Daphnia pulex: one gene and its partner. The protein of the gene in region 2 purifies or fractionates together with the protein of the main gene of each other region. This does not show direct contact. Links are inferred from orthologs where the notes say so. Each region holds a gene or a part of one and is shown on either strand. Other genes may lie near its edges.

Evidence for each region.
Region 1: the proteins of RILP-like protein homolog (region 2) and ras-related protein Rab-10-like purify together in Homo sapiens (co-immunoprecipitation; 3 studies listed by BioGRID and IntAct, with this or other methods). This does not show direct contact. The link is inferred for Daphnia pulex from reciprocal best matches to the Homo sapiens genes RILPL1 and RAB10.

What each region holds. Positions count from the first base shown.
Region 1 is NC_060018.1:11,839,515-11,843,993, forward strand, and holds ras-related protein Rab-10-like, read left to right. Parts: upstream 1-1,889; 5' UTR 1,890-1,990; coding exon 1,991-2,117; intron 2,118-2,232; coding exon 2,233-2,293; intron 2,294-2,355; coding exon 2,356-2,494; intron 2,495-2,563; coding exon 2,564-2,653; intron 2,654-2,711; coding exon 2,712-2,900; 3' UTR 2,901-3,529; downstream 3,530-4,479. Other genes in the region: protein lifeguard 1-like, read right to left, coding at 1-150, 214-475, 537-693, 783-864. UniProt on the Homo sapiens protein: The small GTPases Rab are key regulators of intracellular membrane trafficking, from the formation of transport vesicles to their fusion with membranes.
Region 2 is NC_060023.1:5,831,549-5,836,430, reverse strand, and holds RILP-like protein homolog, read left to right. Parts: upstream 1-1,474; 5' UTR 1,475-1,615; exon of another isoform or gene 1,616-1,674; 5' UTR 1,675-1,774; coding exon 1,775-1,992; intron 1,993-2,069; coding exon 2,070-2,305; intron 2,306-2,372; coding exon 2,373-2,497; intron 2,498-2,563; coding exon 2,564-2,767; intron 2,768-2,831; coding exon 2,832-3,007; intron 3,008-3,094; coding exon 3,095-3,274; intron 3,275-3,376; coding exon 3,377-3,440; 3' UTR 3,441-3,546; coding exon of another isoform or gene 3,547-3,598; 3' UTR 3,599-3,949; downstream 3,950-4,882. Other genes in the region: trichoplein keratin filament-binding protein-like, read right to left, coding at 1-155, 214-345, 432-1,141; sodium- and chloride-dependent GABA transporter ine-like, read left to right, coding at 4,393-4,514. UniProt on the Homo sapiens protein: Plays a role in the regulation of cell shape and polarity. Plays a role in cellular protein transport, including protein transport away from primary cilia.

The DNA.
Region 1 (4,479 bases), on a different chromosome or scaffold from region 2:
GGCAACGATTCCGAAAATGAATAAAACGATGACGCAGACAAAAAGGATTCCTCCACAAGCCGTGAAGTCCCATTTAGTCTGCATAGCAAAAATGGTGAGCGCAAGACAAACCCCCGTGCAGATACCAGCGGCGATTAGCACATCTTCCGACTGTAAACAAGTATAATTGGATTAGTGGATACCATTACAACCAAAAATAATACTTGAACGTACTCTGTAGAGAGACGAGACAGCGCCAAGCATAAAGCCTTCGCAAGCCGTGAAAAGTCCCAGTAAAATAATATTTAAAGGCCAGCGTCGTCGGAAATCGTTGCAACACGCCAGAACGATTAAAAGGACGAAGGTCATGACAAACGCGATCCACCACATTTCAGGATGTTGACGGGAGTACATCTTGACGTTCGGTTCGTAGACAAAGAGAGATATGAATCCCACTGTGATGGCAAGCTGCACCATTAAAATCGCGTACACCTTCCTGCAATGACATTGGTTATTATTTTATGATGGGATCGTGTAGTAAAGTTTTTAATCCATACCTTACGAAAGCCATACGGATAGACTTTTCAGAGAAGGAAAACGCGGCATCGCCGAGTCCTCCGGATTCGTAATCTGCACCACCGTACATGTTGTTGGCTGGAGCTGCGGGTGGTTGTGGATTAAGCGGTGGATTTGAATTGTACGGAGGTGGTGGTCCTGGAATGTTGAACACATATACATTAATATCTGGCCTTTAGCCGTCGTACAAGTTTTGGGATTCAAAACTGAAAAGATGACTTAATCACCTTGATCTACCGGGACAGCCCAGCCATAGCTTGGTTGCCCAGGCTGAGAAGGGTAGGTTGGGTGGTTGGGTTGAGATGCCATGTTTTATTTTAATAGGAAAAGCCTTCCCTAAGCAAAATGCATGAAATTAATCAAGAACGAGAGAAGGCCTAGCAAAAATTTGAAGAAAAATATGACGAGATAACAATATCAAGACCACTTCCATTCAGATATTTTAATAATAATAAAGGTAACTTTTAAAATATCATTCAAAAGTTCTATAGGAAAGGTGATGTAAAAGAAATAAATATTGAGATATTGAATCATGAGTCCATGTTGTTGCACAACTAACATTACTAAGAAGCTTAAACTGCGATCCTTCTAGAAACCCCATCAACGACATGCAAAAAGCCGCTATTTAGGCATTAGCTTCAAATAGGTGAATTTCTTGACAGCTATGTGATCAAGTAGAAAAGCTAAATGGGTTAGTTTGAAACTTACTTCGAATCGCAAAATATCCCACCCACTCTTATCTCAAGAGGTGTTTTAGCGATACGTCATACAAAGTCCAAAACAAGCAAACGATTGGATTGCACAAACAAGCATACAAAATGGATTCAGTGATATCTAACTATTAAACCAGGCCTGACAAATTGTCTATTCGTCTCCATTCTTGTTCCCTCCTCCACTTGTAAATCCACTTTTCAAACGAAGATGAAGATGTCAAAGATTTTTAATTTTACAGAATTTTAAGTGATGGTTACTTAGCGTAGTGCAGTTTGATGTTAAATCATTAGAAGTTTTTTCTGGTAGTTGTCAAGTCTTCAATACGTAAGGTTTTGTATTATTTTTGCTATCGCGGATTTATCGACTTGGTCGCGCGAAATTTTATGGGGATTCAACTAGCGCCACCTATGTTACAAACAAATTAGGAAGTAAATTTTGAAAAGATTAAGCTAAATTATGATAAAGATTTCGTTGCATTAAATATAAAGTTGTTAAAGATAATGCCAATGAATTTACGGTTTCGCCTATTTTTAAGTTTATGAAAAACAAGTTAAGTTGGTGTTGGAGCCACTTGTTAATGATCTCAAACGACCAAGGCCTTCTCCGTTTAATCGTGAATGTGATCATTTTTGTTCTATTTCGTTTTCCGTCATCATATGGTTTGAGTCTGAGAGTGTAGTGAAGAGTTGCAGAACCCGTTCGTAAAAGAGAATTGAAAGATATGGCAAAGAAATCGTATGATTTGTTGTTTAAGTTATTGCTGATTGGGGATTCAGGTGTCGGAAAGACATGCATTCTGTTCAGGTTTTCTGATGATGCATTCAATACAACATTCATTTCCACTATTGGTGAGCTAATGGATCTTCATTTTCCCTAAATTTTTTTAAATTTCCCAGCCGCACCCCTGACAAGATTTTTTTCACATGATTGCCTTTTAAAACGTCACTATTTCGTCAATTGCAGGTATCGACTTCAAGATCAAAACTATTGAGCTGCAAGGGAAAAAAATCAAACTTCAGATATGGTAAAAATTATTAAATTTCTCAAAACTTTATCTTGGTTTAACATGTACATTGTACTTTTTAGGGACACTGCGGGTCAAGAGCGTTTCCACACCATCACAACATCTTATTATCGTGGAGCAATGGGTATCATGCTTGTATATGACATTACCAGTGTGAAAACATTCGACAACATTGCAAAATGGCTCAGAAATATAGATGAGGTAATAATAATAGTCATGAATAATAATTTAAGGAACCAGAAATAAAATTTGTTCCATTTTTTTCCATAGCATGCCAATGAAGATGTAGAGAAAATGATTCTTGGTAACAAATGTGATGTTGAAGACAAAAGGGCAGTTAGTAAAGAAAAAGGAGAGATGGTAATTTAATCAATTTCTTGTTCTTGGTTATCTTGAAAATGACATGTTATGATTGCAGATTGCCAGGGAACATGGAATAAGATTTATGGAAACATCAGCTAAGGCCAATATCAACATTGAGAGTGCTTTCTATGAACTGGCCCAAGCGATCTTGACCAAAACTTGCGGACGAGAGCAAGCCGAGCCCTTAGATCGCGTCCCACTGGAAGGAAGTCGCAATGATCGCCAATCTAATCGGTGCTGTTAGTAGTAGTAATAATAAACACACAAATTTCTTCAATTCTTAAGCGCCCAATTAAACATGGATGTGATCAACGTTGAAGTTCCGCGCAATTAGACCGGCATTTTTGTAACCAAAACAGGGAAAGAAGCAAAATGAGATGGTATTTAATGGATTGTTTATCCTCATTCTTCTTTGAAGGTTCAGTGGGTGATTTTAAATTGAGAGCTGTTGACAGAATGAGGAGACATGTCAATCCACACCCGTTTAACACGTCTCCTTTCACCTGACTAATTAAAATAAAAGAAACGAAAAGTTCAAATTTGGCCGGTGGCGTTATTGCTCGACTCAAAATCCAATTCCATTTTCCAATAATCTTGCCTTGTACCGAACTACTCTAAATGGTTTGTGAAAACTTCTTTCTTTTTGTCCGAGTTGCTTTTTTTTTTTCGTGGATGCCACGATAATCTTTTCTTTCTGCAATTGGTGACTTTACTGTTTCGAAGTAACTTTGATGCAAGAAAAGGCGTCCTTTTCCTTACTGTTGGCCCTGTAACCTGCTGCGCTAAACCACACACATTCTTCATCCGAAATTTCCATTTTTTTGCTGATTCTTATTGCTGAAGCTTGTAAATACAGAGCCGTTTTCATAATAACTAACAATATATACTCTTTTCTTTCTTTATAACCAATCAATAGGATAAAATTCGATGGTATGTCGATATCGATGCGGATGAATCATCAACTTGTGTTACCCTCCAGTAGACTTGAGTTTCTTCAGTTAGTGCAATAGTCTGACCAGAAGCATTGCGATAAAGCGATTACTTCATGGGTTTTTTCCTTCGAACAAGAAAACGTTTTCTTCGCAGCGGGTTTTCGGTGTGGGTGTTGCTTCATCTTTTTTTGTTCAACCAACGGCATCAGAGAGATAAGCATTGACTTCCGCTATAATTTTATCTTCAAGGTTTAGGGTTTAATATTGGCAAAACAACTGGCCTGAGCTAAAAAAAAATTAAATATGATTGTAGTCACTCAGATAGGGACCACTGACGAATAGATGCGTAGATTTCTTATCGTTGGAAATGAGATACCAGCAGAGTCCCAGCAGATCCAAAAAGGTCACTCAGCGCTTTTACAGTTATTGGGACATGTCAATACAGTTACAGTATACGTCGTACGACTCGTTTTCCTCTACTTTTTCTAGCTGGACACAAGTTTTACTAAAATGTATGCCATGAGTAGTTTTCTTAAGTTATTAAAACCCTTTCAACTTCCTCTTTCTTTCTTTGTAAACCTTCATCTTCCTGTAACATTATTCGAGGCAATGATCTTTGTACATTTTAAGGGTGTGTCTTGTCAAAACAAGACACTTCCTTTTGTGAAATAAATAACTCGGAGTGGCTGACTAACCATTGTCGTCTTGCGCTCAATGTTGTTTCGCAATCGCAATTGCCAATTGGCGAACGAGAATATCGAAACAAATTGATTTTTGAAATCTGACGTCATTGCTTCAGAAGCAGACGATGTGTGTGAATTTACACCGTAAACAGAAAATGCAAATTCATCAGTCTTGAATTGGAATTCCGCCCCTTCAAAAGCAAAAACC
Region 2 (4,882 bases):
GTTGAATGTCTTGACGTGTTTTTTCTTTTTCTAAAGCAGAATCACTTTCATTTGGGAAAAGTTTCTCGGCAAAGCTCATTTCTTTTTCCAAATCAGCGGCCACTTCTTTAGACCGTTGCCTTAACTTCGCTAAATGTTGCTTGGTAAGGAACTCCCTGAAAAGCAAGGTATTTAATTTGTTGTTGTTTAACAATTATCACAGAATATAAATACCCGTTCTGTTGTCGTTTTGCTCTTTCTTCTTCTTTCTTTTGCATTTCTTCCTTGATAGCCTCCAATGCAGCAGCGTCTGCCATTAGTTTATCGTGCTCTCGTCGTTTTTCATTTGCCTCAAAATCCTTCGACCTAAGATGGAATATTATGTAATAATGTATTGAATTTTTAAGTTTAATCGATGATAAGGAAAAAGACATGAGAAATATTTTACAAACCTCAACAATTCAACTTGCTCATCTAGATCCTTTCTCCATTGCTGTTTCTTTTGTAATTCCATCTTCTGTTCTATTTCTTCTCTTTTCCTTTCTTCCTGAACCAAGCGTTCCATTTGGACAGCTTCTCTTTTCTTTTCTTCCAGTAATCTTAGCTTCTCTTCTTCTCTCTGCTGCAGTTGAATTGTCCACATTTCTTGTTGTTGCTGTTTCTTCAACTCAGATTCAAATGCCCTGAATGAAGCACTAGTAGATTTCCACTGTTCATGCTCCCTGTTCTCGACAAACTCATTCAGCTTTACACTTTTTGAATGCCTAAAATGCTGCACTTTATCCTTCATATTTTCCCACTTCTGGTTTTCTTCTTCTTGTTTAATTTTTTTCAATGCTTGTTCTTCATTTAATCTGTCTCCTTGATACAGTTTCTTAAGTTTTTTCCTACGAGTTTCCACATCAATTTCTGTTTCACGTATTTTTGATTGACGGTGGCTTAATTGGGCACTTCTTGGGGACGTCCAATCGTCAAACTTCTCGTTTTGTAGATTGCAATTTTGAAAATACCTGTCATTCGATCGAGCCGTTTCACTTCGACGAGTTTCTGCTTCACGTTTACGAATAATTTCGTTTTCCAATCGCATTTTCATAACAGGCAGCGCAGCGCTGTACCTGTCAGGGTTTGAATAACCACTTCTGGGCCTGAATGAATTGCTCATTTTTAGAAATCGTATAAAACCACTCCCGATTATTTCAAGGGGAAAAGTGATGAAAGTTGATTTGTTCTTGTTTATTCGAAAAAACTAACCTGATTTTGGTCACCATGGCAATGGGTGTTGCCAGATCTTGAAACTACCTGAAACATACATAAATTATAAATTTTAATATTTTTGCCGTAATTTTTGTATTGTATAAATTTTTTTATCAGATCGAATGTCATTGCGTTGCAGTATTTTCTATAACCATGTCCATAAAATGTAAAATATATTTCAAACCTGTTTTCGACAAAGTCGATAGAGTAATTCTGCAATGACGTCATTCATTTGCTCTCCGCTGTTTATCACCTAAAGAGCCCTTTAAAGTCAGTGCGTAGGAAGGGTTTCTATGAAACACACATCCCAAAACAGAGTGGGGTTGTTTGTTCTTGCGTGAAGAGAATGAATAAATAAATCTTTGGTTTCAACAACTGTTTCGTAAGTTTATGACCAAATCGGAAAAAATTTTTATTAGTTATCCACCATTTTAACCGCAGACATCCCTACATGAAACCTTTTTTAAAACAACAATTGAGATCTGGGCTCTTGGAGTATTAAATCAGTGAAAGTTTTGTGTGCCAAAGTTCAAGATTCAATATGCCTTTGCCTTCACCAAGATGTGTGGAAGATCAGCAAGATTCTTCTTCAGAATATGATTCCCTACCAGATATTTCTGTTGTGGATGTGTTTGATCTTGCCTCTGATGTTGGTAATGAGTTAGAAAAAATTATTAGCATTCATGGAAATGAACTAGTTGAAGGGCTGATGCAGAAAGTCATACGAGTATTGGAACTGCTTGATAAAACCTCTCGAAGGTAAGTCCTTAAATGAAGAAAACATTTTACAAAGAGCAATAATGTATTCTTATTTATTTTCTGTGCTTGAATCTTAGGCAGGAATCAGAAAGGCAACTTGTAGAAGAATTACAAAATAACATCAGTCTTCTTGAACGTGAGAAAAGGGAGAAAGCTGTTGATAGGTTACGATATGAAAAGGAAATTGAGCAGCTAGAAGAAAACTGGAAAAAAGAAACACAAGAACTATTAGGGAAAATTTCAAGAGTTCAAGAAGAAAACAAGAGATTGTCTTCTTCATTAAAAGAAAGTACAGAGAAAAATGTTTCTAAAAGTAAGGTTTTCTCCTTATGATTTCAATCAAGCAATGTATATTAATGTTTTATCTAATTATATTTTAGATCCCATACCAAAAGAGCCTGATTGGGATTTATTCGAAAAGCTCAGGGAAGCTAATGAGAAACAGAGAGATCTGTTGCGTTGCAGGGACAAAGAGTATCAAGATAAACTCTGTGAATCAGAATCTGTAAATTTACATTTAAAATTTTTGCAATTATTACTGGACGTTACAGTACCTATTTGGTATTTTTAGCTACACAATCAAGTGGATCGATTGACAGAAATCAACAAGGAATTGCGGAGGAAACAAACTCATATGTCTCAGCAAATGAGAACTTTGGTTGAAGAGAGAGCAGATTTGCAGGCTCTACATCAAGAACAGTCGAGGAATTTGGCTGCGCTGAATAAGCGACTAGGTGTCGCACAACGAGACAATGAAGATTTGATTCAGTGCCAGGTATTCCTACACTGATTTGATACATTTTTTAAATTTTTTAATTTTAATCACTCTTTGAAAATAGAACGACGCACCAGATCTCACTAATAAAATTGTCATCGATATTAATGATCCAAATCGCCCTCGGTTCACCATAGCCGAACTAAAAGAGATTCTCTGCGAACGAAATGAACTCAAAGCTCGTGTTAGTGATCTGGTCGATGAATTAGCGCTTTATCGACCAAGTAAAAACCATTCCAAGTACGTAATTAAAAGCTGGGCAATTAAAAAGAATTATTATGGCTAAGCTGTTTAATTTAATGATTTTCTGTTTCTCCTATTTTGAAGTATTGAAAGGATGTCGCCTTTGAATAGCGAGTCGACTGCTTCCTCCGGTGACCCTCTTGCGTCGGAAGCAGATGAGTCTACCTGCGACCTTCCCGTTCAAGGGCCTTTACCCTACGAACCGGACGACGCTCCGTGGAAACGTCCCAGCTCGAGAAAAAAGGATTCGAGCATCCGAAAATTGTAAGTTAATTGGGATTCCGAACCGCTTAAAATCTTATGCTTTTGGCTTGTCGCATTCCTTTTTCTTTTTCAGTTCTATTTTTGTTTTGTTTTTGTTTTTAGGTTTTCTACTTTGTCTTCTTTCCCTCGTTTATTAGCTCCACGCACTGTAGATGGTGCTAAATGACCTGACGTTTTCCAACTTGTGATATTGAACTTGTATATAGTTCGGTCTAACCGGACAGCCTTAACGGCAGTATTGATTTGTAATCTCTATTGCTTTCTTTTTTCAGGTTTAAAAAACTTGTTATGTTGCCAAGTGCGGGACTTTTGAATCCACAGTGACCAAAAGAGTACCGAAAGTTGGTAAATCGGTTTTTCCCAAAAATCCCACGCCGAACAAAGTTTCTCGTAGCAATTTTAGTATAAAAATCGACTGTCATTTTATCGCCATGATTTAAAATTTGCATCATTTCAATTAAATGTGGCCATAGATGCGATCTTTACCTTCACAGACAATGTGTCAGTGACGTTCTAGGTTTTAGTGAACTGTTGGATCATCAACGGATAACCAAATTGTGTATCATTGTTCTATTCATGAGATACTCCCCATTTACTACATCCCAAAGACTAAGACATTTATTAGACGTTTGATTTGCAATTAACGACGTGGAATACACAGATGGCGTATATGAATTTCAAGTCTTCATTTTTCTTTTACCTCTACAATTGTTATTATGTTAAAGCTAAATGTTTAAACTTGAGAAAATTACAGGAATGTACGGTACCCGAATAGAGGTTAAACGGTCATAGCCCACGTATAGTATAATTCTTTCAAACATATGCAGTGATTTAAACCTTCAAAAGAACAATGGTTTTTTTTTAACCCACAATAATATCTCTCCAAGGACAAACGGTGAAACCTTCACATTTTTCAGTCAGTAACGTTGCGAGTTTTTCATGCGAGTCGACCTCAAATAGCCTCAGGCCTATGAACACCCGACTAACGCTCCCGTGTCACTTCGTTCGTTGGGTTTATCGTGATTTTTGTTGGTTTTCGTTGTCGTGTGTTCCCTCATCAATCCCATTAACTAAAACGTATCAAAGAATTTATCAAACTATCGCATATCTATAAAAAAATGAGTGAGCTTATTGATAAAGGCCAGTGTGATAGTCGTGGCGAGGTAAACGAAATATTCGAAGCTACAGGAAGCTACAAATCTTCTTCACAACATACCACCGGGGACCAACCACCTGAAACGTAAGAGCACAGAGGCGTAAATAAAAGTCTCATCCATATGTTGTTGCATAATATGTTAACTTTATATTTATCGGTGGAAAAATCGCATCAAAATGTCTTACACCCGTGAGCATTTACCTTACTTCACGAAAAAAGGTTAAATTGTTAATTGCTGTCTGAAGCAGAGCGCAGGATCAGTCATGTCTCAGACATCCGCTTTTGGTGTCACAGCTTTCATGCGTGTAGTCTACGCAGTTTCGGATTCAATGTCAATGTGTAGTCTAGCACATGCTTATTTTCAACTGCGAATAGGAATGGTGACGCACTCACAGAATCGTATTTCTGTTTTTTTGTTTTTAACAAGTTGGAAAAATCTCCACTTAGTTTAG